4 linked regions of the Notamacropus eugenii genome follow. The protein of the gene in region 4 interacts with the protein of the main gene of each other region in a pairwise test. Links are inferred from orthologs where the notes say so. Each region holds a gene or a part of one and is shown on either strand. Other genes may lie near its edges.

Evidence for each region.
Region 1: the proteins of PIN1 (region 4) and DAB1 interact in binary tests that used the Homo sapiens proteins (3 or more experiments, as listed by UniProt). The two-hybrid records come from large-scale screens. The link is inferred for Notamacropus eugenii from reciprocal best matches to the Homo sapiens genes PIN1 and DAB1.
Region 2: the proteins of PIN1 (region 4) and THAP7 interact in binary tests that used the Homo sapiens proteins (3 or more experiments, as listed by UniProt). The two-hybrid records come from large-scale screens. The link is inferred for Notamacropus eugenii from reciprocal best matches to the Homo sapiens genes PIN1 and THAP7.
Region 3: the proteins of PIN1 (region 4) and RBPMS interact in binary tests that used the Homo sapiens proteins (3 or more experiments, as listed by UniProt). The two-hybrid records come from large-scale screens. The link is inferred for Notamacropus eugenii from reciprocal best matches to the Homo sapiens genes PIN1 and RBPMS.

The regions. Positions count from the first base shown.
Region 1 is NC_092873.1:518,367,070-518,375,038, forward strand, and holds the start of DAB1 (disabled homolog 1), read right to left. Parts: upstream 3,019-7,969; 5' UTR 2,612-3,018; intron 1-2,611. UniProt on the Homo sapiens protein: Signaling adapter of the reelin-mediated signaling pathway, which regulates the migration and differentiation of postmitotic neurons during brain development.
Region 2 is NC_092875.1:9,169,166-9,175,784, forward strand, and holds THAP7 (THAP domain-containing protein 7), read right to left. Parts: upstream 2,158-6,619; 5' UTR 2,038-2,157; coding exon 1,487-2,037; intron 1,410-1,486; coding exon 1,269-1,409; intron 1,162-1,268; coding exon 624-1,161; 3' UTR 503-623; downstream 1-502. Other genes in the region: tubulin alpha-3 chain, read right to left, coding at 5,904-6,200. UniProt on the Homo sapiens protein: Chromatin-associated, histone tail-binding protein that represses transcription via recruitment of HDAC3 and nuclear hormone receptor corepressors.
Region 3 is NC_092878.1:167,536,663-167,544,536, forward strand, and holds the start of RBPMS (RNA-binding protein with multiple splicing), read right to left. Parts: upstream 3,010-7,874; 5' UTR 2,931-3,009; coding exon 2,835-2,930; intron 1-2,834.
Region 4 is NC_092875.1:80,258,774-80,266,299, forward strand, and holds the start of PIN1 (peptidyl-prolyl cis-trans isomerase NIMA-interacting 1), read left to right. Parts: upstream 1-4,512; 5' UTR 4,513-4,579; coding exon 4,580-4,637; intron 4,638-6,271; coding exon 6,272-6,472; intron 6,473-7,526. UniProt on the Homo sapiens protein: Peptidyl-prolyl cis/trans isomerase (PPIase) that binds to and isomerizes specific phosphorylated Ser/Thr-Pro (pSer/Thr-Pro) motifs.

The sequences.
Region 1 (7,969 bases), on a different chromosome or scaffold from region 4:
ACTGGGATGAGGCCTCTGAATTTGGAGAGGAAGTAGAAGCAGGGGAGCATTTTAAAGAAGATTTTTTTCCCCTCAAACAATGTAACCAAAGCATACACTGGTCTTCATCATCTTCTCCCTCTTTCTCCTATTTTCCCTTTCTCCTATCCCCTCCTCCCTCTGCTGCCTTCTTCCTTGTTCCATCTCTCCCACATATACCCCTAGACATCACACACACACACACACACACACACACACACACACACACACAGGCAGAAGAATTTTCTCCTAATCCAGAGGATCAAGAGTCTGGACACTGAACATTGTCACAAAAAAAGGCTGGGTGTTTGGGTTCTGTATTGTATCTCACAAAAGCCAGATGTAGAGTAGATGGGAAAGCAGTGTGCCTTCCTGGTCTGGGGCTAAAGGGGTAGGGGAGGCAGCCTGTTGTCTAGTCTGACTCCATCTCAGAGCCTATACTCATCAGGGCCAAGTCATGGGACTGGATAATTTCTATTTGCTAACAAGTCCAAGCCATCCCCACCCCCAATCCATTGAAACCAGACTCCTTGCATCACAGAGGGAAGTCAGATACTATCATACAGAACCATTCATTCCCAGGCACTTTCTGCTCAACTGAGAAATAAAGAAAACCTCAGGAACCCAGAACCTGTGGAATCTTCAGCCAGGAAGGGGGGCTTAGATATCTTCAAGCCCATCCACCTCTTATTTTAAAGATGAGGAAACTGAGGCCCAGAATGGACTTGAAGCTACTGGAAGAAAACCTATATGTAGGACCTGTTGCAAAAGAAAATGCATTTCAACAGGGAGCTGTGGGCATTTTGCCATCTGAATAGAAATCTGCGTTTCCACAGTGATCAGAGAAAACAGATAAAAATAAATAAATAAAAGCCATTTACAATGTGTGTCTGGAGAGGGTCGTGGGTGTTTCCAAGCCACTGCTGTGTTTCTAGCCTGGCTGGCTTAACCATTGGAGGCTGGTGGAGCCCAAGCTGGAGCTGCAGTGTTCTAAGGGTTCTTTTGCTGGGAAGACCTCTTTAATATGGCTGGATTGTAATACTGCAGTGCTAAGGTTCTCCAGCAATAAAAGAAAAAAAAAAAAAGATGCTCAGCACCCAACTTCAGGGTGCTGGAAATATATCTGGCTGCCTTTGCACCCTTCTATAGATGCTGTTTCTAATAAGATTGGCTACATACAAGAGCCTGGTCCCGTTGCACCCCACCCTCAGGGCTTCTGGGGTAGGAAAGCTGGTGCATCTCCCCCTTCTCCTGCCAGCAGCTTTGTGAGGAAGGGGGCCCTCTGAAAGGGAACAGACCTTCTGAGGCATGGCTGAGGAGGGAATTAGGGGGATTGAAGATGACACACCTCTCTGCCAAGCCTCCCCTCGATTTCCAGCTCAGTCTTTGCAGTGATGCTTAATCCAAAGGAATCGTTTTATCAGAGATAATCAATCCACTGTCTTCCCCCTCCATTCCAAACTACCCCCCCCAAAAAAAGCTTCTGGAAAGCACTGACCAGATACCCCTGTGACAGCTCAGAAAATTCGGGTGCCCACCCACCCAAGCCTCTACTCAAATCTCATGAAGCCAATGCATAGCGGTCTCCCTGCAAGGTTACGCCTAATTGGCCACTAACCTAATTGATTAATCATCTAATTTCCTAGGAGGCTTCAAGATACAGACTGAGGGGTGGGGATAAGCCTGAAGCCCGCATTTCAGAGGGGGGAATGGCAAAGAGTCCCCTGCACGCAGGCTGCAGCTCTCCCTGCCCGCATGTTCATCTCGGGAAGGAGGGGATGGGGCTGACTAGAGCCAAGGATCAGAGCGCAGGGAGAACGACCGAGTGGTGCCTCGATTTCCTCCCAGGCGAGGCTCAAATCCCAGGCAAGTTGCTCCCCTCCAGCCCTGGAAGGGTTACTCTGCTCGATGTGGTCACACCGCCTGGGCTTCTCCTGGCAGACCAGGGAGCTTTCTCCCACTCCTCCAGTGAGACTCAGGGTCTGGCTCCCTAGCGCTCCCTTGGTCCCCCCACCTCCGCGTAACGACCAAAGCCCGTCCAAGCCCGCTGCTCAGCTTCGCCTGGCTAGAACAGGAAGCCCTGAGCCAGGACGAACTTGGCCTGGCCGAAAGGGGCTCCGGGGCCACCAGGCAGGCTGGCTGACAGCCTTCGGAGTGGGAAACAAAACTTTACCTTCAAGTGCCGCAGCCAAGCATCTCCCCCACTGCCCACCCCCTGACCCTGAGTGGCGCAAGGTCCAGCCATCGAGAGCTGCCCCCATCCCTCCCTAGGCTGCGGACGCCAGACTGGGAGGGGGGCTGCTCCCGCCCCCCACTTCACCACCACCTCCCCCCCTTCTCGCTCTTTTCTTGGCCGCCTCCACCCACCCCTCCCCGCTTCTGAAGCCTTCTCCCGAGGCGCCCGGGCTCCCCCTCGCCTTTGCCAGGCAGTCGAGGAGAGCAAGGTGCCCAGAACCCAGACGGGGCAAGACAAATCCCATTTCGCGGGAGGAGGAAGGTCTGAGAAAGAGGGCTCTGGGGAAGGGGCACGTCCCCCCGCCTCCAGGCTGCCCCAGGCTCCCACCCGGCCAGTTTCCCACCTCCGCCCTCCTACCTTGAGCCGGCACTGCGCTCGCTGCTCCAGCCTCGCTCCACTCATCCTCTTGTTGCAGGGGCAGGAGGGAGGGAGCGACTGGCCAGCTCTCCCCGATTCCCCCAGACGCTCAGTTCATGCCGGGCTAGGATTCTGGAGGGGTCCCTCTTCCCGGGCTGGGCGTCCGAGGGATGCCACGTTGGTCCCTCCAGAAGAAAGACTTGGGCACGGCGTCTAAGCCCAGAATATCCTCAACAGTTCCCTCCCAGAGAGCCGCAGCTCGAGCTCCAGCTACTCAGAGGCAGCCGCGGAGACAGAGCGCCCGAGCTCCGCAGGCCACATCTTTCATACGCTATACATCACTACCGCATTCCCCCGAATAGGGGAGCCCCTCAGCATTTCGTCAGCCAGCTGGCGCAAGACGTGGGCTCCTGGGCTGGGCGCGCTCCCCGCGCGGGCCAGACCGCCCCCCACCCCCACCCCAGGCTCCCCCGAGAAGCCGGGGCGAGGAAGGATGCAGCTGCTGCCTCGGGAGCCAGGTGGGCCTGGGAGAAATGCCTGACACGCGGGAAGTCCTGAGCCCCACCCCCCCACACCCCCTGGGTCTGGTGCCAGCCTAAGGAGGCTTTGGCCTCTGGGCACCGAGACCCTGGGGAAGTATAAGTGAAGGACCAGTTTCTCTAAAAGCCCCAGAGATTCTCCAGGTGTCAGCGAAGGAGAAACCCCTAGCAGCGCCCTCTTATAGGCAAGATAACTCTGGGCTGAAATGCAGCCTCTCATGCTTACTACCTGTGGGAGTTATTTCATTCACCTGAGCCTCAGTTTCATCATCTGTCAAATGAGACCAGGTGGGCTCGGAGGTCTCTTACCTTAGAATGTCTATCGCGAGGGCCTAAAAGTCAGAAATAATGGGGTTCAGCACTGCCTCAAAGGCTTACTAGCTGTGTGACCCTGGGCAAGGCAAGACAAGTCAACCGGCACCCTTAAGTGATTACTAACTGGCCCCGCGTTGTGCTGACCCTGGAACTACAAAAAGGGGGGAAAATTACTGCCCTCAGAGAGTTTGCAGGAGTCACAAACTCTCTGAGCTTCAGTTTCCTTATCTGTAATATGAGAGGTGTGGCCTCTGAGGTCTCAACTCTAAAGTGATGATCCTATGATTCCTAACCAACCTGACACCCCCCCCCCAAAAGAGTATAAAATGTGATGACACAAGACTCCTAGTTCATTTCAGAGAGAGAGAGCAATTCCACCTCTTTGTGACCCCATTTGGGATTTTCTTTACTGGAGTGGTATGCCACTTCCTTTTCTAGTTCCTTTTACAGGTGAGGAAACTGAGGCAAACAGAGTTAAGTGACTTGCCCAGGGTTACACAGCTAGTAAGTATCTAAGGCTGGATTAGAACTCAGGCCCAGACTGACTCTAGGCACAGAGCTCTATCCACTGAGCCATCCAACTGCTTATTGACTTCAGTAGGAAAGCTTATTAAAGACTTTGTATTCTCAGCTTTTTGCATCCTACCTCAGCACTGACAGTATAGCTTTAAACATGCTAGATGCTCAAGCATGTCTTGATTGGTTAGATTCACAAGAATTTTAGATTGATCTGGAAGGAGATTTTAACCAAAAATGTTAAAACATAAAATGTAAAATGACAGCTCTAGAAATCACCTTACAATAAGTACAATAGATTATTCATATTGAACTTTAAGGTTGTAAAGAATGTTGTTCTGGGTAAAGAGATGACCTTCAATGTGGGAGGACCTGGGTGCATGTTGCATCTATGAAACACAATGCTGTGTGATCCTAGACAAGTGACTTAACCTCTCTATTATCTCATTCCTCTCCAGAATGAACTCCATACTTTCTCTAGCATGTTTATCAATATTCACCCTGTTTGCTTCATAAAGATCACTCTTGACTTTGACAATACCTCTTGACTTTCTTCATGGGTGTAGGATGTGTTCAGGGACGAGCAGTACCTTTGGTGTGATGGCTGCTGAGCCCTGTTTGCGGCTCTCTCCACCTTTGGTGTTCACCTATTGCACTCAACTCTCACCTGTAGCTCCAAAAAGTTTCAGCATGCACAGTGGCCACACTCCTGTAAATCGTTTCAGCAGATGGGCCAAACCAAGATGAGGGTAACCAAAGGGTCTCAGACCCATTGGTGAATTAGGGGGGTGTCTACCCCAAGCATGTGAAGACTTCCTCTGGTGGAATGGGCAGATGAGAACAATTTGTTCTAATGGCCATGAAGGCAGATGCAGCAGGCAATGTGGAGTGCTTAGAGCTTGGAGCTTGGACACTGAAGATGCCAAGGTCATCCACTGCATCTTGAACCATAGTTAGCTGCCTTGACCAGTGGACTATAATGATTCTGGAAGAGAGAGTGAGGTTGACAACTTCATGAAACTCTGCCTCACTTAAATCCAATTTATTCATGAATCAAAAGACATCACCCATACCATTTCACTATTATGCCTCAAAGTTGGGTGACGATAGGCAAGTGATGAAGCAGCAGGTGTGGAAACACTGGGAGCTGTAGTCATGACCCTGAACATAGGTGGCCCAGTCCATAGGGTCATTTCTCACTAGTAGCAGCAGTGGGACTCAACAGCCCCCTGGGTGCCTGAGCAGCCTTTTAAGGATCGCACTGCTCACCTCCTGGTGTAAGCAAGGGGGCTAGAAAAGGTACCCTAAACATTGTCTGCTTACCCAACCCTGGCCTGATTACCATGGTAGGTAGGGAATCCCACTCTGTGGTTGAAACACAAAAAAAATGTACAAAATGTACAAAAACATCTGCAAAGATGATTCCCCTCATCATTGGCACATGGAACGTGCACACATTTATAGGCAACACAAAATCCAGTAGACCTGAAAGACAAACTGCTCTTGTTGCAAGAGAACTCAACAGGTGTCGTACCCAAATAGCAGCCCTGAGTGAAACAAAGTTGGCAAATGAAGGCCAGCTTATTGAAATTGGAGCTGGATACACCTTTTTCTGATGTGGGAGCAGTGAAGGGGAGTGCTGTAAAGCTGGCGTGGGTTTTGCCCACTAATCTAGTCAGCAAACTGGCATACCTGCCAAATGGAGTGAATGACAGGCTCATGAAAATGTGATTGCCACTCGCAGGAAAATGCCATGCCACCATCATCAGTGCTTATGCTCCCACCATGATGAACCCTGATGAGGTCAAAGAAAAGACCTAGAGACCCTTATCATCAATGTGCCAAAAGAGGACAAGATTATAATTCTGGGTGACTTTAATGCTAGAGTAGGTTCAGACTACCAGACTCGGCAGGGAGTCCTAGGGAGGAATGGAATTGGAAACAGCAACAGCAATGGTCATTTCCTGCTGAAGACTTGTGCATCGCATGATCTTCTCATCAATAACACTGTCTTTTGCTTACCTAAATGCAATAAAACTTCATAGATGCACCCTCTCAGCAAACACTGGCATCTAGTAGATTATGTGACTGTAAGGAGAAGAGACAGAGGATGTGAGAGTGACAAAAGCAATGTGTGGTGCAGAGTGCTGGACTGATCATAGACTTATCCTTTCCAAGGTAAATATTCACATTCATCAAAAGTGCCACCCCCAAGGCAAAATGACTGCCAGAAGAATTAATGTCAACAAATTAGAACTCTTCTCTGAGTGTGAACAGTTTGTTTCTAACTTGGAGGGAAAGGTGAGTCAGCACATAGTTGGCAACAGTGGAGCAGAAAAGGAGTGGGCAGCTCTCAGAGATTTGGTGTACAGAACTGAATTTATTCATCTGGGTCAGAACACTCACAAACACCAAGACTGATTTGATGAAAATGATGGGAAAATTCAGAAGCTGCTAAAGGAAAAACGAGAACTCTACAGGATATACCAGCAGGATAATTCATCCACCTCTAAGAAAGCAGCATTTAATTTCACCAGAAGCAAAGTACAAGCAAAGCTTAGAGAGATGCAGGATTCCTGGTTCAGTAAGAAGGCAGATGAAATTCAGTTTTATGCTGACAGTAACAATCCAAAGTGCTTTTATGATTCGTTGGAAGCTATTTATGGACCAAAACCTATAGTGCATCACAACTACTCAGTGCTGATGGAGCCACATTGATTAGTGATAAAGACATTATCCTAGAGAGATAGGCTGAACACTTCCATGTTCTAAATAGACCATCATCCATCAATACTGAGGCCATTGACCGTTTACCTCAGGCTAAAGTCCTTAGCTGAACTTCCAACTGAAGAAGAGGTTTTGAGGGCCATTAGACCCCTTTCATGTAGCAAAGCACTTGGTGCGGATTCTATTCCAGCTGGAATTTACAAGATAGGGGGACCATTGCTCATACAAAAGCTGACTGAAATTTTCCAGTTTATATGGCAAGAGGAAGTTATCCCCCAGCAATTCAAGGATGCTTCCATTGTCCAACTCTATAAGGGTAAAGGGAATAGATTATCCTGTGACCATCACAGGGGAGGGAGTCTCTCTCTTAGTCAGTGCTGGCAAAATTTTTGCTAGAGTCCTCCTTAATAGGCTGATCCTTCACTTGAAGGGTGGTAACATACATACTAGATGTAGCCAGCATGGCTTCAGAAAGGGCTGAGGAACAGTCGATATGGTGTTTGCTGCCCAACAACTCCAGGAGAAATACTAGGAGCAGAACAGAGGTCTGTACACATTTGTAGATCTGACTAAGACCTTTGACATGCTGGTCATAAGGGCTTATGGAAAATTATGTCAAAATTTGACTTCCCAGAGAAGTTCATCAGTATTGCATGTCAATTTTATGATGGCTTGTTTGTCTGGATTTTGGATAGTGGACAATGCTCTCCTACCTTTCCAGTCACCAATGGAGTGAAACACGACTGTGTGCTTGCTCCCATGATTTTTAGCATGATTTTTTTTCAGCCATGTTATTAAATGTTTTTAATGAAGATGAACACAGCATCAAGGTCAACTACCATGCCGATGGTAAGTTCTCCAAGTTGTAAAGTCTACAAACCAAGACCAAAGTGGAGTGAGTGTCAGTGCATGAGTTTTGGTTTGCAGTTTCTGATTGTGCACTCAATGCAGCCTCTGAAGTTGAGATCCAACAAAGGATGGATCAATTCTCTGCTGCCTGTGCTAATTTTGGCCTAATAATACATACCAAAAAAACACAGGTGCTCCAACAACCACCACCACACCATACATACATGGAACCATTGATTACAACAAATAGAGAAGTTTTAAATGCTGTGGATAAGTTCACTTACCTTGGGAGTGTACTTTCCAGGGATGTACACATTGACAATGAGGTTGATGCATGCATTGCCAGAGCTAGCTCAGTGTTTAGGAGGCTCCAAAGAAAAGTTTGGGAGAGAGAGGACTACCTAACTGAAGG
Region 2 (6,619 bases), about 71 Mb from region 4:
CATGGCTTCTCAGAAAGAATAAACCCCATCAGGAGGCTCGTGGGAAGAATGACCACGGATTTCATGTGTGCTGAGAAAGGCGGGTGGTGCGTCCATCCTGCCTGTGTGATGCCATACTGATCACTTCCTCTCTGGATGGCCTTCAATGAAGTCCGCCTGGAGCTCCAAGCGGTGGGCACTGCCAGCTGCCCCTCCTAGGAGAGGGGCCTCAATAGCCTGGCGAGGAGCTGGGTCTCCAGCGTCTTTAGTCGCCACCAAGGAGCGGTTTGCTGCGCCAAGTGAACAAAGCCCTGGCTTCTGCTGGCTCTTCTCTTCTGCCGCCCCGGGAGGAGCCACCTCCCCTGGCTGCTGGGCCGGACCCAGGCAGGGGCAGACGCCTGCGCTCGGGGGAGGTGGGCGGAAGGAGAGCCCCGCCGGCCCCAAGGTCTGAGGTCCGAGGTCCGGCCGGGGCTCCCGCCAGGTCCGAGGTCCTAGGTCCGAGGTCCGGCCGGGGCTCCCGCCAGGTCCGAGGTCCTAGGTCCGAGGTCCGGCCGGGGCTCCCGCCAGGTCCGAGGTCCGAGGTCCGGCCGGGGCTCCCGCCAGGTCCGAGGTCCTAGGTCCGAGGTCTGGCCGGGCCCACGCGGTCACTGCGGCTCCAGGGCCCGCCGCTCCGCCTGGCCCCGCTTGTCCCGGGCCCGCTCCTGCTGCAGCCGGGCGATGCGCAGGCGCAGCCGCTGCTCCCGCCGCTTGCAGGCCTGCAGCTGGCGCTGGGCCTTGTCCAGCGCGTCCAGGGCGGCCTCGGCCCGCCGCTTCCACAGCAGCGCGCTGCCCACCTGGTAGCTGTGCTCGCTCTGGATGTAGGCCCCGGCCGGCGGCGGCAGGCGCAGCATGTAGGCCGAGGGCGACACGGGCCGGGCGGCCGACGAGGGCGAGGGCCCCCGCTCGGGGGACGGCGGGCTCCCGCAGCTGGCTGCGTCCCCGTGGGGCTCCAGCGGCTCCAGGAGGTCGGAGAAGGGGCTGACGAGGCCGCTGGGGGCCGGCGACGGAGGCAGGGCTGGCAGGCTCAGCGGGGGGCCTTCGGGGGGCGGCTCCTCCCCAGGGAAGCAGGGGACGTCTGCGGGGGCGGGCCCGTCCGCCAGGGAGGTGTCTGCGGGGGCAGGGGGTGCCCTCCCGGCCTGGCAGCTGTGGGGGCAAGCGTCAGGCGCGGCCAGGGCTCTGCCCCTCCCCCCGCCCCCTCCTCTCAGCCCTCCCTCCCTCCCACCCCAGGGGGCCACCTTGGGCACACATACCGGCGCCTGCGCCTCCGGAGCCGGGCCAGGTCAGGGGAGCCCGGGGGGTAGCCGTGCGCCCTGGCCTTGGGCGGCCGCCGCAGCTTGGAGAAGGAGTCGAAGATGGTGGGCACGGCTCCCTCCTTCAGCCGATGGTACCCGCTGCAGGGAGAGCCGGTGAGCGCCGCGGGCGGCCGCGCCCCCCCGCCCCCAGCGCCCCTGGCGCCCCCGGGGCCTACCTGATCCCCACCAGCTCGAAGCAGCTCTCCTCAAAGTGCTTGGAGCAGAAGTAGATGTACTCGGACGCGGGGTCCCACAGCCCCTGCCCGCTGGGGTCCAGCCGCCGGCAGTTGGCCAGCCACAGTCCGCGCCGAGGGTTGTCCTTCTTGGGCAGCCTGAGGGGAGCCCCGCCCGCAGCCCTTAGCAGGGCGGGGCTCCCCAGCCCACCCCCGGGGCGCACAGCAGGGCGATGGGGTCTGCACTGGGGCTCCTCCAGCTGCGTGCCCCCGCCCTGCGGCCTCATATGTGACATGAGGGCGACAGCGGCGCCCGCTGCCCAGGGTGGACAGACCGAGCTATGGGGTTGGTCCGTCTGGGGGGGGTCAGACGGGTGGACGGAGAGCGGGCATGCAAAACTGGGACAGCCAGGGCAAAGGCTCAGCCAAGGCAAAGGCTCGGAGGCTGGAGATGAAACACCCAGGGAAGGCCAAGGGCGGGGTCTGAGCGGCCACGTGGTCAAAGAGAAGGGCCCTGGGCCAAGTCTTGGTGCGGGCCCCGCCCCCCCCATCATTTGGCATTTCCCCTTCCCCTCCCCCCACACACAGTAGGCCCTCAGGTCTCCCTTAGACGGCAGGCCCGTCTAGTCCTTGGGGCAGTGTCCGCCGCACAAGCAGTAGGGGCCTGGGGGAAGCCTCCCAGGGCAGGTGAACCCACGCCCTCCCCTCCCCCCCGCCCCCCAGCGCCCCCTGCTGGAGGCGAGGCCAGTCGTGCCCACGCAGGCGCAGTACCCGCCCACGCCGTCAGCCCCGCCCCGCGCAGGCGCACGCTCGCGCAGGCGCCGTCGGGCGGGGGCGCGCTCACCTGTGGAAGGAGATCCCGCGGGTTCGGGTCTCACGCGTGTCGCGGGTGCAGCAGCCCGCGGCCGAGCAGTGCCGGGGCATCTGCGGGAGGAAGGATGGAAGGGTGTGGCCTCAGCCGATGCGGGGCGTCCTCCCTCGGCCCGCTCGGGCCGCGCCGCCCCGACCCTCCCTGCCCCTCCCCTCCGCCCGGCCTCGCCCCCTGCTCCCCTCCCGGGTCCGCCCCCGACCCCTCTCCCCCTCGGCCGCACTCACGGCTCCTCCATCGCGACGCCGCTGACGTGCTCTCGCGAGAGCGCGCCCACCGTTACACGGCGGGAGAGGGGGCGGGGATCGCGCCTGCGCAGTGAGACGAGCTAGTGGCCGGGTTACCCAGGATACAGCGCGGCGGCGGGGAGAGAGCGAGGCTCGGAAGGCTGGCGCTGACTGGGAGGGGGCGGGGCTGTGTGATGATGAGGTGGGAGGGGAAAGGTCTCTGCCAATCAGAGGGTCTGGGGCGGGGCCGGCGGGAATGATCGGTGCTTGGCTCGGGTGCGGCCTGAGGGAAGGTCGTCCCTCGCGTAAGCCCCTCCCCTCGTCCCTCCCCCACCTCCCCGGGGAAGTTCATATTTCCGATTTAGATTTGGGGAAACTGAGTCTCAGGAGGGCATTTATTTCGCGCCATCGCCTTGGAGGGCAGGTGCGCAGGGGCGCTGTGACCCATGTGCCAACAATCACTTATCCGGCTCCTGCTCAGGCTGAGCGCCGGGGGTGCAAATGCAAATCAAGGGGCGCGGTCTAACCCGAGAAGAGCACACGCTGGGAAGCTGGAAACGGGGATGGGTCCAGAAGCGTTTGGACTGCAGGTCCAGCCCTGCATCCACCCAGCCGCTGCCTGTCGGCCCTTCTGGTCCGCCGAGAGGGCTGCGTTTGGAGTGCCTCAGTTTCCCTGACTGTAAAACGTGATGGGGCTTCCCTTGGAGATCGTGAGTGAGGGGGAGAGGCCTGTTCCACTGTGAGAGAAGTGCCCCCTTTCCATTTCTTGGCAGCCCCACGCGTGCTGCCCGCACCCTCCCGTGTAGGCAGGGTTCCACCCCTTCAGGCCGTGGTCAGAATCTCGGCCCGCAGCGCTTTGCTGTCTGCCACTCCCTTCTCCACGTTCACTGATCTTTAATGCTGCGTGACGTGGTGGGCCCTGGCCCCTTTATCCATTCTCCCGCCCCACTTTATGCCGTTTCAAGGGGACAATAACTAGGAATTCAGGTCAGTCCTGTCTGACTCTGACCCCATTTGGGGCTTTCTTGGCAGATACTGGAGTGGTTTGTCGATTTCTTCTCCGGCTCATTTCACAGAAGAGGAAACTGAGGCAGGGTGAAGTGACTTGCGCAGGGTCACCCAGCTAGTAGGTGTCTGAGGCCAGATCTGAACTCAGGTCTGATTCCAGACTTAGTGCTCCATCCACCCAGCGACCTCATGACAATTTTACTGAAGGCAGTTCATCAGCTTGGCCCTTTGACGTTAATTGAACAAAGCTCTCATCCAACCTCCCGGCTCATCTCAGGCATTATCAGCCACTTCAGTTCTGTTTTTTCAGGAAGAGAAGGCTAGGGGACACGAGCTCATCGCCTCTGCCAACCATGCTTCTGCATTCATCTGCTCTTGCTTCACATCTTTAAAAAATAGTCCAGTCAACCGATGCTTATTTAGTGGGAATGCAGCGTGTGCCCAGGTCCCTCCAGACAGTGCCACCCCACGTGGAGAACCTGGGGAGCTGCTTCTGGGACAATCATGACAATGTGATCCATAGTTAGCAGTCAGTGTCTCAAATGTGTAAACACCCTCTTGCTGCTTCTGGTTAGCTATGTCATGAGGCAACAAAGCCAGCTACTGGGACATTCCTGGAGGCCTGGTAGCCTCTTTCACGGCTGGAGGGACCTGTGGCTCCTTTCCTCACGGCATCCTGTGAAGGGAGGGGACTCTCAGAAGTTTGGGGAGCACTGCGGCCAAACCAGCCTCAGGGCCAGGAGACCCTCCACCCGCCGGAAGGGAGACAGGCTCCTCCAGCAGAAATGATGCCTTTGGACATGAACTAGGGCAGACAAATGCTGTCTATGGACCCAGGTGGGATGAGTAAAGTATGCCCTGCTGACTTTAGGGGAACTGTCTGTATGTTTGTCCTGGCTGAATGGAAGTAAAAATCCTTTTGTAAAAACTAATTCATGTTAGGGCAGCTGGGTGGTGCTGCAGTAGATACAGCACCAGACAGAGTAAGGAAGACTTAAGCTCAGACACTCCCTAGCTGTGTGACCCCTGGGCAAGTCACTTCACCCTGTTGGCCTCAGTTTCCTCATCTGTAAAATGAGCTGGAGAAGAAAATGGTGAACCACTCTAATATCTCTACCAAGGAAACACCAAATGGGGTGATAAAGAGCTGGATGCAACTGAAATGACTAAACAACAAATCAATGTTGTTTAAATGAAACTGGCCCCTTAACAGGTAGGGCATGTGCGTGCACGTGTGTGTGTGTACATGTGTACAAAGCTGGTGAAGGCTCCAGCCAATGGCAAAGAAGAAGCCCCATGAAGGGACAGTGGCCTGACTGCCCCTCAAGTGGGGCCTGAGTGAATACCCTCACGCAAGCTCTGGAAACTCAAGGCAAAAGTGAAAAACTCCTGCCTGCCCTCAAGGAATTTATGTTCTATTGGTTATTCAGGTCCCTGCACATATCCATGGAGATCTTAACTTGGAGTCTGTAAACTTAAAAAAATGTTGATTGCCTCCCAACAGGTTTCCTTTGGAATCCTTTCTTTCATGCATGTAAAAACATTATTCTGAAGGCGCTGTGGGCCTCACAGTGGCCAAAAGCTATAGAGTTCACTCTGGGGAGCTTCCCTTTGCGGGCACAGAGTTCAGGAGTCTTAGAGATCACATGGCACAAAGGGAGATTTGAGGCCTAGAGAACGGGACTTGCCTAAGGAGACACAGGTAGCAAGCACGGAACCAGGATTTCTTCTGACTCCAGACCTCAAGCTCTTTCCACCACCTGGTCATTGGCAAGGCCCAAGCAGGGCCTTGTGAACCCACAAGACTTCCCTTTGCTCTCGTTTGAGGCGGGAGCACCCTCTGGTGGTTCTGAGCATGACTGCACAGAGCCAAGCCACTTAGGCTCCAGCCTGATCCTGGGCTGTTATCTCAGGGGGCTACAGGGGTTCTCCACCCTCATGTAAGGAGCTGGTTTGGCATCCCGTTTCCCTTTTTCTCCAGTGGACTTAGGTTGGGGCAGAAAAGCCTGTCCCAGAAAAGCTTGAGCAGACTAAGCAGTGGGAAGCCCCTATTTTTAGGAGGTCTTTGTCAAGAGAAGGTCATTGCTACCACCACCTAGCCCAGCAGTCCCAGTGGCCCAAGCAGGGCCTCCCCCAACCCTCACTGGCCACACAGTAGGGTGATGCCTCTCATGAAGACAAGCATCTGTGGTCTTGGGATTCCAGTAAAGTGGCATCTACAGGCAGGAGTCAAACTCTGCTTTAATACGGAAATGTTTATTTGTAAACAAATTATGTAATCAGGTATACTTGTAGGGGTGGGAAGTGACGCTGCCCCCTAGTACTCTTCTCCTTCCTCGGCCTCTGCCTCCACCGAGTCGACGCCCACCTCTTCATAATCTTTTTCCAGAGCTGCCAGATCTTCTCTGGCCTCCGAGAATTCACCTTCCTCCATGCCCTCCCCCACATACCAGTGGACAAAGGCCCTCTTGGCATACATCAGGTCGAACTTGTGGTCCAGCCGTGCCCACGCTTCTGCGATCGCTGTGGTGTTACTTAGCATGCACACGGCCCGCTGCACCTTGGCCAGGTCACCACCAGGCACTACCGTGGGGGGCTGGTAATTGATGCCCACCTGTCAAGGAGAGGGAAGGCTAATTGAAAATTGCAGGCTGTGGCTCAGACAACTCCCAGATGGGCACACTCCCTTGGCCAGAGCAACACCGAGGTGGAGTCACCTGCCCAGACTGGCCCAGGCACAATGCAATCCCCTGGGGTATCTTCTCCAAAAGAGAATGACCAGAGGAGGTTTGGGAGTGAAACGGCCAGAGGCTCCATCTGGGTCAACAGAGGAGCATGGCAGCCCACTAACTGAGACTGCATCAAAACAGCTGCCTCATGCAGAGGCCGGAAGTGCCCCATTCTGACAACGAGGAGATGCTGCTAAGACATGATGCTCGTATCTGAAGGGTCACCATACAAAAGGATTAGAGTAACTTGCTGTTCCCCATCAATACAGATTTTATGAAGGAAGGAGGAGGGTTGGACTAGTGA
Region 3 (7,874 bases), on a different chromosome or scaffold from region 4:
AGTTTGGCTAATTCCGATGTGGGGTATTCCTAAGAGCAGTTGGGATTCTTACAACGTTCTAAGACGTGAGTAGTGAAAGTATCCAAGGCGCAGAGAGATGAAAGGATCCAAGACTGAGAGGGAGAGGGGGTCTTAGAGATGACTGAGGCTAGCGATTCTCAAAGTGGAGTCTGGGGGGGTCCCCAAGATTCTTCTACATCAAACTTATTTATAATAATGATAAGGCATTTTAATTTCAAATACAAGAAGCATCAGTAAATATAACCCACATAAACCGAAGCTCTTTGGGAGGGGGGGCCATGAGACCACACAGTTCTCAGCTGGCCCATCCCAACCAACCCCTTGGTTCTACAGATGAGAGATTAAGGGAATTGTCGGAAGTCACACAGATAGTAAACGTCAAAACTCAGATTTGATCTCAGGTTCTCTGAGTTCAAATCCCATCTCTAATCTCCAGCCCAGGTCAAGTCGCTGCAGTCTTTGCTAGCACCTGCTGTAAAATGTCTTGGAGAAGCTGGGAGGGGAGAAGGTGCATGATGGGAGATCGCTGCTCACTGCCCCCTCCTTCCTCTCCTCTCCCCACCTCCTCCCTGTTCAGAAAAACCTGGAGCCGCAGAACTGCATGTACCAGTCGTCTGAGAGCTCTGGAATGTTCACAAGACCTCCCAACGTGCAGGTTTCTCCGTCCCCCACTCACCACCCAGGCATCACTACTCACCCCCACTCACAAGCACTTTAAAAAAAAGTTGTCCCAGCAGTTATGTCCACGAATGATAGTTTAGTCAGCCTTTCTCACCAGACTGATTTTTCCCTCTACTCCCTTCTCTTCAAGCTCACTCCATAATGAACTGCAGCCAGATGGGCCCATCTCCTGTTCCCTGTACAGGATACTAGAGCAGCTAGGTAGTGCAGCATTTAGAGAACCATGCCTGGAGTCAGGAAAACCAGAATTCAAATCCAGCTTCAGACACTAGCTGTGAGATCCTGGGCAAGTCCTTTAACCCTGTTTTCTTCAGTTTCCTCAGCTATAAAATGGGGATGATTACAGCACACCTATCTAAATGACTCCTCTTCTCACTGCCTGGGCAGCGTGTGTTTGTCCTTCGTTGCCGAAGAAGACCATGCCATCAGAGACATGATGACATGACTTGCACTTGACTTTGTTTTGAGTGAGGGAGGGCTGAGCAGGTCATCAGCTTCACTTCTCCTCCAGAGCCATCTGAATCCAGTGACCAGATATTCATCAGGATGACTAGAGATGACCCAGGATGAGGCAGTTGGGGTTAAGTGACTTGCCCAAGGTCACACAGCTAGTGAGTGTCGAGTGTCTGAGGTGAAATTTGAACTCAGGTCCTCCTGACTCCTGCACTGGTGCTCTATCCACTGCACCACCTAGCTGCAGTAGAGCCTAAAGGAAAGACTGGATGACCCCAGGAGGCTCAGAGGAGAGTCTAGCCCAGGTGTAGGCTGTATTTGCTTGCCTCCTAGGCCCTTTTCAGCATCCAAGATGCTGGCCTTCCTTCCACGGGGTCAGCTTGAAGCTGGAGGATTGGGTCTGGAGTCAGGACGATCTGAGTTCAAATCGGCCTCAGACATTCACTAGCTAAGTGATCCTAGGCATGTCATGTAACTGCTGACTGCCTCAGTTTCCTTAACTGTAAAATGGGGGTAATAGCCACTACCTGGAAGAGCTGTCCTGATAATCAAATGAGATATTTTAAAGCACTTAGCATAGTGCTGGGCACATAGTAGTTGGGCGCTTAAATGCCAGTTCTGCCCCTCCCTGCTTTGCAGAAATTTTCAGAAAACCCAGTGGCAGGAGACAGGTCATCAGGGAAAGGGCAGAGCCAAAGTCTGATCAGGCCAGGGCACGAGGGGAAAACACAGACATTTTCAGGCTTCAGCCTTTGGGGAAGGACAATTCTGCCTCCCAACGAACCTCAGGCAACACTTCAGAACCTGGAGAAATTCCCACCAGGCCTCCCAGCTTAGAGGGGAGATTCCTATCCTCCCTCAGCAGACAGGAGGACCCTTGGGTTCAACTCCAGACAGTGGCCCCTGGGCCCTCTGGAATAACCTTAGAACCAGCAGGCAGAACAGCATTTTAAAGCGTGCAAAGCACCTTACACACTCTCTCTCTCTCTCTCTCTCATCTGATGCTTGAAGACTGTGAGGTTGGCTACTCTATTACTATACCCATTTTAAAGATAAGAAAACTGAAGGGGGTGGGGTTCAGTGCTTGTCCAATTGTCTGAAGTGGGCCACTGTGCTGCCTGGGCCCAATCACTCCATTTCTCCACTCCACATTCAGGAGCCACATTCCTACACTTTTAACGGCTGTCCCAGGAAAGCTGAGGTAAAATGTGGAGGAAATGCTCACCCCAGCTGCAGCCCATGCTGAACTTGTAGTCAGTCCATCCAAACACGGAGATCTTTTTTCTGAATAACAGCCGCCTGGCCATGACTCCCCTATTTTAAACTCAAGAAATGAATTTTTTAAAAACAAGTTTAAGGCCTGATGTCTTGTCAAATTTCAATTTCTTAGAGTAAGTCCATAGACTGAGCCCACTGGGGCCTTTCTAGACAGACTCTGACTGCCAGAGGGTGAGGAAGGCACAGAGATCCCAAGCTGACAAAATGGCAGCCTCCTGGGGTCCCGAACAACACATTTTCACCCGTTTCTTTGCCTTTAACTTTGGGGCCTTTTTAGGAGCAGACATCCTAACAGGATTAGAATCCCTAACACAACATCAACAAAACCAGGGTTGAGCGACAACCTTCTCTGGAGGCCATTCTGACAGACGCAGGCATTTTCAATGAGAGCCATTCCTTACCCAAGCCTTGGAATCTTGAACATCCAAAGTCAGTTTCTCCTTTGCTGAGTGACTCCCAGATCCTCCAAGCCCTGGGCTAGGGCTTCTGAGAGTCATCCCTGGAATTCCATGGCTCAGTAGCCTCTCTCCCAGGCCCCACCCTCAACCCATCAGCTCAACTTCCTTAAAAACAAAATAAAATATATGGTCAGCCTCTATTCTGCTTTTATATACATGAAATCTAAAAATAGGGAGTTAGTGAGTGACTTCTGTTTCTATATTTGACCTAAGTACGTTTTCTCCATTGTTACCAGTCATCCCCCAAAGACACTCTCCACCAATAAGGTTGGGTTTCTAATTATCAGAGAGGAGATTGCTGTTCCTACGGATAGGCCTGGCTTCCTTAGAAAAGGAGAGGTTCACAGCGGTCAACCAGCAAGGCTTTGTGGGAGTAAATGGGAGCAAACGCTAAGAAAGAAAGAAGTCCAGGAAACCTCATGTAGAGGGAGAAACTTAACTTGGCGTCAGGAGACCTGGACAGGAATTGGGCCTCAGCACCTACTTACCAGCTATGTGACCCTAAGCAAGTCACTTCCTCTCTCTCTCCCAGCTTCACCTTCAAAAGACGGGCTGGAGGGGAACAACGGAGAAGAAAGTGTACAGTAATACTGACAGCTAACATTCAAAGACAAAGAGCAAGGCTGGCCCCAGAGACCGCACTGGAGAAGGCACAGCCTTCCTATGGATTTGCAGAGGTGGGCACGCCAAAGATCGTTCAGACTTTTCAACGGCCTGATCATCTGTTTTATTTGTTTTCAGGGTTTTGGGGGTTTTTTGCCTTTTTCCAAAAAAATATGTAGGATGACTGGGGGGTGGGTAGAGGGAGAAGAAATATTGAGTGAATCTTACATTAATACATATTTATGGAATACAATAAGCATGTCCATAACACAGTACAATAAAAAGACAATTGTACGTGAAACTATAAGTCAACTAAACCCATTGCTATTCGTTTCGAACATACAGCAAAATTATTGGGCAAATTTCCTTTTTCCCTTCTTTTTTTCTACCCTGCCGCCACCAAAAATAACAGCTAGCATTTGTTTGCAAAGTACTTTACATGTCTCATATGGTTCTTCCAACAACCTGGAGAGGGAGATGCTATTATGACTCCCATTTTACAGATGAGGAAACTGAGGTAGAGAGAAAGCAATGCCGCAGCCAAAACTCCTCAGCCATCCTAATCCAGAGGCAGGTGCTCAGGCCACCCCAAGGTCCCCGAAGTCTGCTGGGACCTGCTGTGTGCCAAAGGGTCCCACTCTCCCATGCTTCCTGTCAGGCTGGGAAAACAAAAAGCTACTGGCCACAAGCCCTTACCTGGGAAGTTCACGGCCCCCTGGGACTTTGAAACAGAAAAATGGGCTCTGCTCTCAAGGGTTCCATTCTATCGGCAGAATGAGACCATTGCTCAGGTTCTTTCCTCAATTATCCCTAATCCAATCCCAGAAGCATTAATTAAGCACCTACTACGTCCAGACACTAGGCTAGGAAGGTCATCCATTCTGTGGCCCTCAGTTTCCTAGATTGGAAAGGGCTCTGATTAGGTTGAAAAAATGTGTTATTTAGCCAGAAAATTAAAAAAAGAAAACCCACCACTCAGCCCAGCTACATAGAGATGTAGGGCAATGGATGCCAACAGAGCACAGGAAAATGACCAAACTGGGTCTGTCTGTGTGACCGTCTACAAGAACAATCCAAAGTGTTGCCCTCATCAGGCCAGACATAGGACACTAGAAATCTCAGCAGAAGGACATTCAGGAGCCTGGCTGCTGACAGCTGATTACATCCCATAGCTTCAATCTTGTGGTTGAGGATCTCTGTGCCCTTAATAGGTGTGAGAGCAGCACCAACAGAGCCAGGGAGGCCACAGACCAACTGAGGACCTGCACCCACAGAGGAGTGAGTGAGGGAGAGAAGCCCAGCCCCTTCCCCTTCCCCTTTCTCCCCCTCCAAAAGCCTAAGGGGGGCAGGGACTTACTTTCATCCAGGCTGGGGGTTATCTGCATATGGTCTCATCCAACACAAAGGAATCAGGTATTCAGAAGGAGGATGAAGGAGTCCTTTTGTCCTCTCCCCAGGGTCATTTCCGGCCATTAACTACACCTCGGAACCTCCCCCCCCCCCCCAACAACTTCTGAAGGCTCATCATTGATTTTTCTAAGTAGTATCACATAGAAATCAACCAACTTTGCTGGGAGGAGATTTCCTGGCTGTAGGACCGCCAAAAGCAGGGGCTTCCCAAGGCCCACCACTTTAGAAAAGCTTTTTTAACACTCCTCTCCTAAAGAGTAGTAAGGTCTATCGTTATACTTATTCTGCAGATGAGGAAACTGAGGCAGAGAGTGGCAAGCTGATTTGGCATAACTGGAAAATGACATGGAATGCTAAAGACGTACGTGGCAGCAACATCTGTATCACCCAACATCGAGAGCCCCACAAGTGATCGGAACCTCGTACGGCAGTCAAATGGTCTAGAAGATGGCAAGGCTGAGACAATGGAGAGCTGGGAAGAAAGAGGAAAAGGGGGAAGATGGCAATGGAACAAAGGCTGAGCCAAAGTATACACTGGAGTCACTGCAGGGGGAAGCGAGTGGGAGTGAAGGACATACCACAAAAAGATTGGCACCCATGCTGCTGATGGGAAGGACTTACAAAGCCAGGTAAATAGCCAGAGATTTAGAAAACATCCAAAGGACCCGACGTCTGGGCCAGAACTGGGGTTTTATCTAAACTCATAACCCACAGTACAGCACGGCCCCCAACCTAGCCAAAACAAAAGCCCTCGAAATGTCTGGAGGAGGAGAAAGAGAGGGCGTCAGGGCCGGGATCTCTGGGCCTCGAGAGCCAAGAGCCACCAAGGGCTCTTTCCCGTCTGACATTCCTAAGATTTTGGAAGCTGGGTCTGACTGCCAGCATTGCCAGTGCCTAGCCTCTCCCTGGGCCTCTGTTTCCTCTCCGGTAAACCAAGAGCAGCCCACTTGGCCCCTTGAAGACTAACCCTTCCCTCTCCAATATGGGGGCCAAGGGGCATTTGTTATCAGAAACGCCTTCCTGCGTCAACAAGCGTTTCATAAGCGCTTACTATGTGCAGGTGCTGTGTTAGCTGCTGGGGATCCAGAGAAAGGCCAAAGTCGGTCCCCGCCCTGTACAAACAAGGTTGTTGGTGTGTTATTACAGGGGCCATCTCTTTGAATACAAACAAGATGCAGACACAAACAACTGCGTTCTCAGGCAGAAAGCTCAAAGATTAAGAAAGACTGAGAGAGGCTACTTGATGGAGGGATTTCATACAGACTTCAGGGAAGACAGGAGGTGGGGACCAAGAGGGAGGGCATTCCAGGCACAGGGGATGGAGCAGAGATGAGGGAGGGCATTGCGGGCACAGGGGATGGAGCAGAGATGAGGGAGGGCATTGCGGGCACAGGGAAAGCCATCGAAGATACCCCAAGATGGAGAGAGAGATCCTTCAACATCGACACTTTCCAAAGGAGGCTCAAAGACAAGAGGAGAAGGTCCCCTCTGTGCCCGAACCCTTCCTAAAGAAGCCCTTTTCCGGGGGAGCAAAAAGCTAGAAGGGAAGGTCCTTTGAGGAAGGGAAGGGCTGAACAGAACATTGGGTATGGATGGAACGGAATATACGCTGGGTTGGACAGGAAATAATTGAGAGGTGCATGGGGGAGGAGGGTGTCAAGAGGTGGGGAAGACCCAGAAAGGCGTGGAGACTGACTTCAGTCCTCAGACTGAAGCCACTTCCCGTTGTGACCTCGGCAGATGGACCACCTCTCCTTCGGCAGAGGTGGCGGAGAACAGGTGTGGAACAAGGCATAAGCTGTCACGCAAAGGCAACACCTGGAGGCTTCGCCTCAACTACATCTATTTGTTCCAAGGAAGGGTTTGGGGATTTTTAGAAATTGAGTTTTATGGGAGGGAGAAAGGGAGGGAGGGAGAGAGGGAGAGAGAGACAGAGACAGAGACAGAGACAGAGACAGAGAGATGGAGAGAGACAGAGAGAGGGAGAGAGACAGAGAGACAGAGAGAGACAGAGAGACAGATAGAGAGACAGAGAGGCAGAGACAGGGACAGAGAGGAGAGAGAAGGGAGAGAGAAGGGGGCAAGAGGGAGAAAAGAAGAGAAAGAAGGGAGGAGAGAAAGACAGAGAGAAGGGGAGAGAGACAGAGGAAGAAAGAGAAACAATTGCCTCCCCCCCAAAGAATAGGGGAATAGGGGCGGTCCCACCTGCTGTTTCTAGCTCCTGGCAAAGTCAGAAAGGTTGAACACTTTCCACAATGACCACAAAGAGGCCCCAGATCCAGAAGCCAATGATGGAGCAGGTCACCCCGCTGCTGACAGAAGGGGGTGCAAACGGAGACCTACATTTTAGGGCCCGGGCCCACATACAGCTCTCTTCTGCTTGACTGCTTAACAAGGAAGATGTTTTTTACCTTTTTCCTGGGTGATGATTCTGGAGGGAGGGGACAAATATGACCCCCTCAAGGACTAAAAGAGGGTCATTGAGGCAGCTTTCATAATGCACAGCTGGGAAGGGAAGGAGTTCAGAAGGAAGCCCTTGACAAGAAGGCCAGCTCTGAGGGTAACATGTTGGATGTATTCGAATACCTTTAAAAAGAGCAAGCTGTACATAACAGAGATGTGTGGGGCCACATCTCATCCTCTTTTGTATCCGGAAACATCCTTTCTTTTCCGTATTCATTAGCCTCAGAATAAAAGGATTAAAAATAAAACATGCTCTTTGATTGACTGAATAAAACATTTTGAAAGAAAATAAAATGAGGGTGTGGGTTAGATGATGGGTAACATTTCCTCCCTGGTCCCTTCTCTCTGGCTCCCTGTTCCAATCCAAGCTCTTTCGTTGACCAGCGGAGTAACCCTGGCCAAGTCTTTGCTTCCTCAGCCTCTGTTTCTTGATTAACTGTCCTTTTTCAGCTGCAAATCCTGTATCTGAGAAGCAGAGAGGATCGAGGGCTACCAATGAGAATGACA
Region 4 (7,526 bases):
GATGATAGGAAAAACCCAGTTCCTCTATACTTTGGTTATATGATAGGTTCTTTACCTTTATTAACCTGACTATGTGACTTTTAAAAAAGCAAGTCATGTCACCACTAAAAAAATCAATCATCTGAGTCTTATGAATAAGGCTGATGAATTGAGAACAGAGGATTTTCCAAATGCAGGTAGAGATGGAGCCGAATTCCTATTTTCTTAATTTTCATATTTCAGAGCAATATTTCATTTCTTTCCCCCTTAGGTTAAATTTTGAATCTTGCCAGTGCTGTGGTTTTCCAATGAGTGGCCCCTGAGCCTCTTTTAGAAGGCCTCCAGTAAGGAAGAATCTCCTTCCTCCTGGAAATCCATTCTCCTTCTGGACAGCTCTTATCATTAGGAAATTTTTCCTGACATCAAAAGCCTACATCTGACTCTGGGAAACTTCCTCTCATTGCTCCATGTTTTGTCCTCTAGGGTCAAACAGAACAAATCTACTCCCTGGTAGCCCTTCAGCTACTTGAAGATTCTTATCATGTTCCACATAAATCTCCTTTCCTTCAGGCTAAGCATCCTTCAATTGATCCTCATATAGTATGATCTCAAGGCCCTTCAAAATTTTTGCTGCCTTACTTTGAACTTCCTCTGGCTTAGCAAGGTCCTTCCTAAAATGTAGCACCCAGAAATTAATACAATACTCTGGGGGCAACTAGGTGGCATGGTGGAGAGAGTGCTGGGCTTGAAGTCAGGAAGATGAGTTCAAATAAAGCATCAGACACTTACTAACTGGATGATCCTGTACAAATCACTTAACCATTGTCTGCCTCAGTTTCCACATCAGAAAAGGTGCTGTGCTCTATGAGCAAAGCAGAATTGAGACAGCACAAAGGAAACGTAGGATGTGCAAATTTGGAGTATCCACCCAAACATTCACATGGACTATCTGTGCCCAATCTGTAGAACAGCATTTCGAGCTTGTGTTGGTCTGATCAGCCACAGTCAGACACACTGAAACTTCACTTTATCATGGTGATGTCATTTTGGTTCTCCTCAAAAACAAAGGACAACAGCCAACCAACTAATCAGTCTCAGTTTTCTCAGATATAACATGGGATTGATAATTATAGCACCTATCTCCCAGGGTTGCTGTGAGAATCAAACAAGATAAGGTTTGTAAAGTACTTAGCACAGGGCTCCGGCACATGGTAGATGCTTAATAAATTCTTGTTTCTTTGTTTTCCTTCCTAGATGGAGTATAGCTATTGTGTATTATGATACAATAGGACTATCACCTCCCAGACATTATTACTCCTCAATGCAGCCTAAGATTGCATTAACTTTTTTGGGTGCCATATTATTACACTGTGGTCTTCTGTTAAATAAGTTTCAAGTTCCCTAAAACCCCTGATCTTTATCTGATGAAGTGTTGTTTAGCCCACCCTCTTCCCTACCCATGATATATTTATGAAGCTGATTTTTTTAAACTCAAGCATATTACTTTAAATTTTTATCTTCATCGAATCAGTCCAATACTCTAGCCAATCAAGATCTTTTTTGCATCCTCACTGTGTCATTCATTGTATTAGTCATCTCTCCCATCTTTGTGTCATCTGCAAATTTTATAAGCAGACCATCTATTCAAGTCATCAATAAAAACAGTACAGGATAGCAATACCACTACCAGACATATAGTCCTATGTCCTAAAAAGATGGAAGAAAGAAGAACAGGAGTTATGTGAATAAAAATATTTACAGTTCTTCTTGAAGTGTCAAAGCAATGGAAACTTAGGGGGTGTCCATTGACTGGGGAATGGCTGAATAAATTATGGTATATGAATGTAATAGAATAATATTGGACTGTAAGAAAAGCTGAAATGGATTGTTTCAGAGAACCTTGGGAAGATTTGTATGAACTGATTCAAAATAAGGTGAGTAGAATCAAAAAAGTAATTAATACAATGACTGCATCACAAAGAAAAAACAACTTTGAAAGACTTAAAAACTCAAATCAATGCAATGAACAACCATAACTCCCGAGGACTAATGAAGAAACATATCACCTCACCTTCTGACAGAGAAATGAGGAACTCAAGGTGTATAAATTTTTAAACATGACTAAAGTGGGAATTTCTTTTGCTTGGCTATGGATATGTTACAAAAGCTATGGATATTTTTTCCACTGGAAGGGGGAAGGTGCAAGGGAGAGAGAAGATGGAGATAAGATTCCCTCCTTACCCCCAAACAGAGGAGAAAATAAGGAAGGTCAGAAGGAATATAAATTAAGCAGAACAGCTTAGAAAGCTACATGTGAAATTATATAAAAAAAGAAGACATTCAGTTTCCTGTATAAACCTCTCTGTCCTTTATGAAGACAATCATTTTATTTGATGTTTGTTAAGTTCAGAATAAAAAATTTAAAACCCCATAAATTTTAAAAAGCACAAGGTTAAGTACAAATAAATCACTGGGACATTCCGCTGGAGACTTACTTCTGAATTGATACCCAGACATGAACTATTAATTCTTCTGGTCTGGCCTTTCAATCACTTTTTAATTCACCTAATTGTACTATTATGTATCCCATATCTTTCCATCTTTCCCACAGAAAACCATGAGAGATTTTGTGAGTATATGTGTACCACTTATGTATGTATGTATGTATATAATACACTTCTCAGTGTCTTGTTGAGGGTACGCAGAGAAGGAAACTCCTCTGCTTGGTTCTCAGTGACTAGGGCTACCTCCAAGATAACTGGTAACTGAGAGTCAGAATAGTTGCACTTTCACCATAGTCTATAAAAGTGATCTGTGAAATTGTTCAGTTCCTTCCTTTTCTTGCGCTTTCTTTGATCTTCCAAACTAAAATACAAGCAATAGGAGAAAAGAGCAACCTATAAGAAAAGCACATTACAAGCCTGAAATTGAAGATTCCTTAAGTTTAAAATTTGGGCATAGGAGGGAGATTTCCTCAATACTGTCCTGGAAGGCATAAGAGGACCGATAACATAGAGGCTCATCCTGCAAATAAAGTATTGAAGTCATTTGAGGAGGGTGGGAAGAGGTCTGGACCTCTTTAGTTCCACTATTATGAGCTGTGTGATCAGCACAGGTCCAATGTGAAGGGAGATTGTTCAACAGCACCCCCAAAGTGTTTTCATGAGTCTAACAGGTTATTTGAGTGATGTACGTTTCTCTGTTTGCTCATGGACCTCTGTGAGTCCTTTGCATCTTAGGCATTTTCTCTGGTGAGGGAAATCAAGTCTGTTGCATAACTTGTGTTTGAGTGCGAGTTGGAAACTTTGCCAATCAATTAGCATTTATTGAGCTCCTACTATATGCCAGACACTGTGCTAAGTGCTGGAGGAAAAACAGTGCTTATTCCTAAGGAGCTTACAGTCTGATGAGAGAAACAATGTACAAATAACTGTACAAATGAGACATTTGGGGAAACTAAGAGGGAGAACTCTGCCTAAGCTTTATTTTAGAGATTTACCTGGAGAACTCCAAGTTAAGGTATATCAAGGCAAAGAGAGAAATGGACTACGGAGAGTCAGTTCCATAGGATCAAATCTAGTAGAGTGAGCCCAGAAACTTTGAGAGAGCTTCTTGACCACATATCATATCTCAGTGTTTAACACTGCCCTGCTCACTAAACAAATGACTGTGAAGAAAATAGAGCCAGAAAAGACCTGAAGTGCAAAGGAGAAGACTGGGGAGGACAAAGCAGAAGACTGGGCAGAGGCAAAGGCTGGGCAAAGGACAGGACAAGAAAATGGGGATAACCAGAGGAATGCTAGGCATGATCTGGGTGAGGTGCAGACAAAAGGCTGGCCGAGGATAGGGCAAAACCCGGGCAAAGGATAAGGACTAGCAGGTAACCGGACAAGAGCTGGGCAGAGGGCCTGATAAGAACTGGACGGGAACTGGGGAGAGGCAAGATAAGGACTCTGAAGAAGGCTGGTTAAAGTCCAGTAGAGGGCTGAACAAGGATCGAGCAGAGAGCTGGGCAGAGGGCTGCGCCTCCCACTTCTCTGAATGGAACTGAGCCCAGGATGCGGGTCCCGAGCCTGAGCAAAACCATGGCAACGAGGTAACATAGCAACGCGCCCAGAGCATCAGGCCTCCGGTTCCTCTGGGGCTCCAATTTCCCCGCCCTTCTGGTGCTGCTTCCTTACCCGAAGGCCCAGAGAACTGTTGAGAAGGAGGGAATTACAGGTCCAGCAGCCAATCAGCGAGCGGCATTCTTTCCGAGAAGGAGGGGATGCCCTAAAGCTAGAAGCGGAAGTTAAGGGGTGGTCTTTCTATTTGTGACCAATGGCCATAATGAGGAGCGGCCTCTGTTCCTCATTCCACCACTTACGGAGCTGGGCTCGAAGAGGGGTGGGTTAGGGAACGCAGGGTCTGTGGGCGGAGTCTGAGTGACAAGAGGCAACGCCCCCGCGCCTTTCTGGCAGCAAGTGAGGAGGCCAGAGGTGGGGCCTTGCCGTGGGAACAGCCAATCAATGACACGGCCAGGGCCCGGTGCGGGAGGCGTTAAGCCAATCGGTGGGGGCGGCGGGGCGGAGGCGGAGCGGGTGCTGCGGCAGGAGGGAAGATGGCGGACGAAGAGAAGCTGCCGTCAGGCTGGGAGAAGCGCATGAGCCGCAGCTCAGGTGCCACGGGGTGGAGGGAGGGCGCGCTTGGGTCCGGGAGGAGAAGAATGAGTGCGGACACCCCGGGCTCGGGCCCTGCACCCCTTCCCCATCATCCCACGGCCTGCGGCCCTGTAAAGATAGCCCCGCGCGATTAGTTCTCCCCCACCCCCCAGCCCCGCCCCAGGAAATGAGGAGGCCAGGTAACGGGCCGGCCTTGGACCCCCGGCATGGGAACGGGGCTGGGCTCCCCGGGCCCCTTCGTGTCCTTCGCCCTTCCCCATCGAAGGAACCCCAGAACCTGTAAAGGCCCAGGGGCGATCAGTACCCCGTTCCCCCACATAAGAACCAAGGGGATCAGTGCTCTCCCCCACAGAAGGGGGATCGATTCTCTCCTCTCCGAGACCAGGGGTGAAGAGTGCTTTCCCCTCCCCCTCTCCACATAAGGCCCAAATGATCTTTGCTCCCCATCCCCCTGCCCCATATAAGGCCCACGGGGAACAGTATTTCCCTTCCCTCACCTTAGGAGGGTCTGTGCTCCCCTCCCCAAGACCCAGTGATGAGTGCTCTGCCCCCACGTAAGGCCTACGAGAGCAGTGCTCTTCACCCTCCCCCAGCTCCCCTCCCTCCAGCTTCCCTCCCCCCATATAAGGCTCAGGGGGATCAGTGCTGCCCTCCCCAAGACCAAGGGGGATGAGTAGTCTCTCCTAAGTCCGAGGACAGGTGATCAATGCTTCTCATCCTTCTACCCCACATAAAGCCCAGGGTTATCACTGCTCCAACCTCCCCCCACATAAGGCCCTGGGTAACCAGTGCTCCATCTCCCCCCCACATAAGGTCCACATGAGTGATCAATGCTCCCAGCATAAAGACTAGAGGGATTAGTACTCCTCATTCCCCTCCCTTCCTCGCCCACACACATACGGACCAGGGTGATCAGTGCTTCCCACCCTACATAAAGCCCAGGGTTACGGGTGCTCTCCACCACCCTGTCCCATGTAAGGCCCAGGATGATCAGGGGTGCTCCCCTCACGTAAGGCCCAGGGTGATCCCTGCTTCCTTTTGCCATAAGGCCTAAAGTGTTTGGTGTTCCACCCCCATGTAAAGCCCAAGGTGATTGATGTTCCTCACTCCAATATGTAAGGCCCAAAGGGTTAGTATTCACCCCATCCACATAAAGCCTAAGGTGATCAGTGTCCCTCCTCCCATTCCACAAAAAGCCAAAAATGACCCTATGCTCTCATCCCATTCCCTTCAACGCCCAGGGTGACTAATGCTTTCTCTCCTTCCTCCACCCCACTCAAGGCCCAGAGTGACTGGTACTTTCTCTACTCCTCCCCCCTCAGTGTCTAGAGTGACCCAGCCTCTTCTGTGGCTCTGGATGACAGGTGCTCACCCTGTTCTGCCTTGCCCCTTTTATGGTTCAGGGTCATCCCACCCTGTACTTCCCAAGACCCAGGATGACCAGTGGCTTCTGTTGCTTCTATGGCCCAGGGTAACCAGTGCTTTCCTACCTGTCTGCCTTGTATGACTTAGGGTGACCTGTATGCCCTCTGTTTCACCTCAGCCTCAGTGTGTACCCCTATCCTCCCCACTTTCTAAGTGTGTAAAGCCCAATGTAACGTGTGCTACACATTCCTGTTCTGTCTCTGTAGGACGAGTCTATTACTTCAACCACATCACCAATGCCAGCCAGTGGGAGCGTCCAAGCAGTGTGGGCAAGAATGGTCAAGGTGAACCTGCTAAGGTCCGATGCTCACACCTGCTGGTGAAACACAGCCAGTCTCGGAGGCCCTCATCCTGGCGGCAGGAGAAGATCACTCGGAGCAAAGAGGAGGCGTTGGAGCTGATCAATGGCAAGTACTGGGTGGGAGGAGCCTGGGGGGAGACAAAGGGGAACTGGGTCCAGAGCCCAAGCCAGCCTTGGATATGGAATGGGTTGCAGTACCTGGAAAGGAGCACATGTGCCCAGGGCCTTGGTTTGGATTTACTGATGTGGCTTAAGGACAGAACTCTCCCTTTTCCTCTGCTCCCTGACCTCTGTAACACCAAGATGGTCTTTTTGTAACTTTTATTGTCAATGTGTATTAATACCATTTGTTAAAAATAAAACTGATCCAAAAAGTGTCAACCCATGGTCCGTAACTCATCCTCCTTCATACTGCCGTTTAACCGTTAGCATCTTTATAGCAGATAACCTGATGCCAATCTCTCCCTCCCTCCCTTTTTCTAAAAGACCCTGACCAGATGCTGATTCCCTTATGCTTAGCCTACCCTGGGGAAGGAACTCTTTATCTCCAGGTGGGGGCAATGTCCTTTGTAGGCCCCATTTCTTGCTGCAACAAACATTTACAAGGTACCTGTTATGCCTAGCACCAGTGCTATCCTCCTGCCTTGCCCCAAGTTAGGAAGAAGGAAGAGGAAGGTGGGGTACAATCCTAGCCTTACAGAACTTAAGGGAAGCTAGTAAGGAGAAACAAAATTAAAGCACAGAAAGTGGTTTAACATCATGAGGCCACCATTGCCTAAAATGTGGGGCAGACACTGAGTTTCACTGTCCAGGTTCAGAAGAAGAGAGCTTCGTGAACTTGGGATGGGGTTCATGGAAGAGGGTGGGTAGGATTTTAATGAATTAATGGAAGAGGGCAGTCCAGGTGAGAGGAATGACTTGAGCTAAGTTATAGAGATGGGAATGCAGAAGATACGTTTGGAAGGCATTGAAGGAACTGGCATGTGTGTTGGAGAATTCTAGAAGAAAGGCTAAACAAAATTGGGACCAGTTATTGGAAGGCATTGGATGCCAGACTAAAGAGTTATGATTTTATTGTTTAAACAGTGGGAGCCATTGAAGGTTTTGGAGTAGAGGAGGAATGACTTTACCATATTGCTGCATTAGAATTATTACCCTGG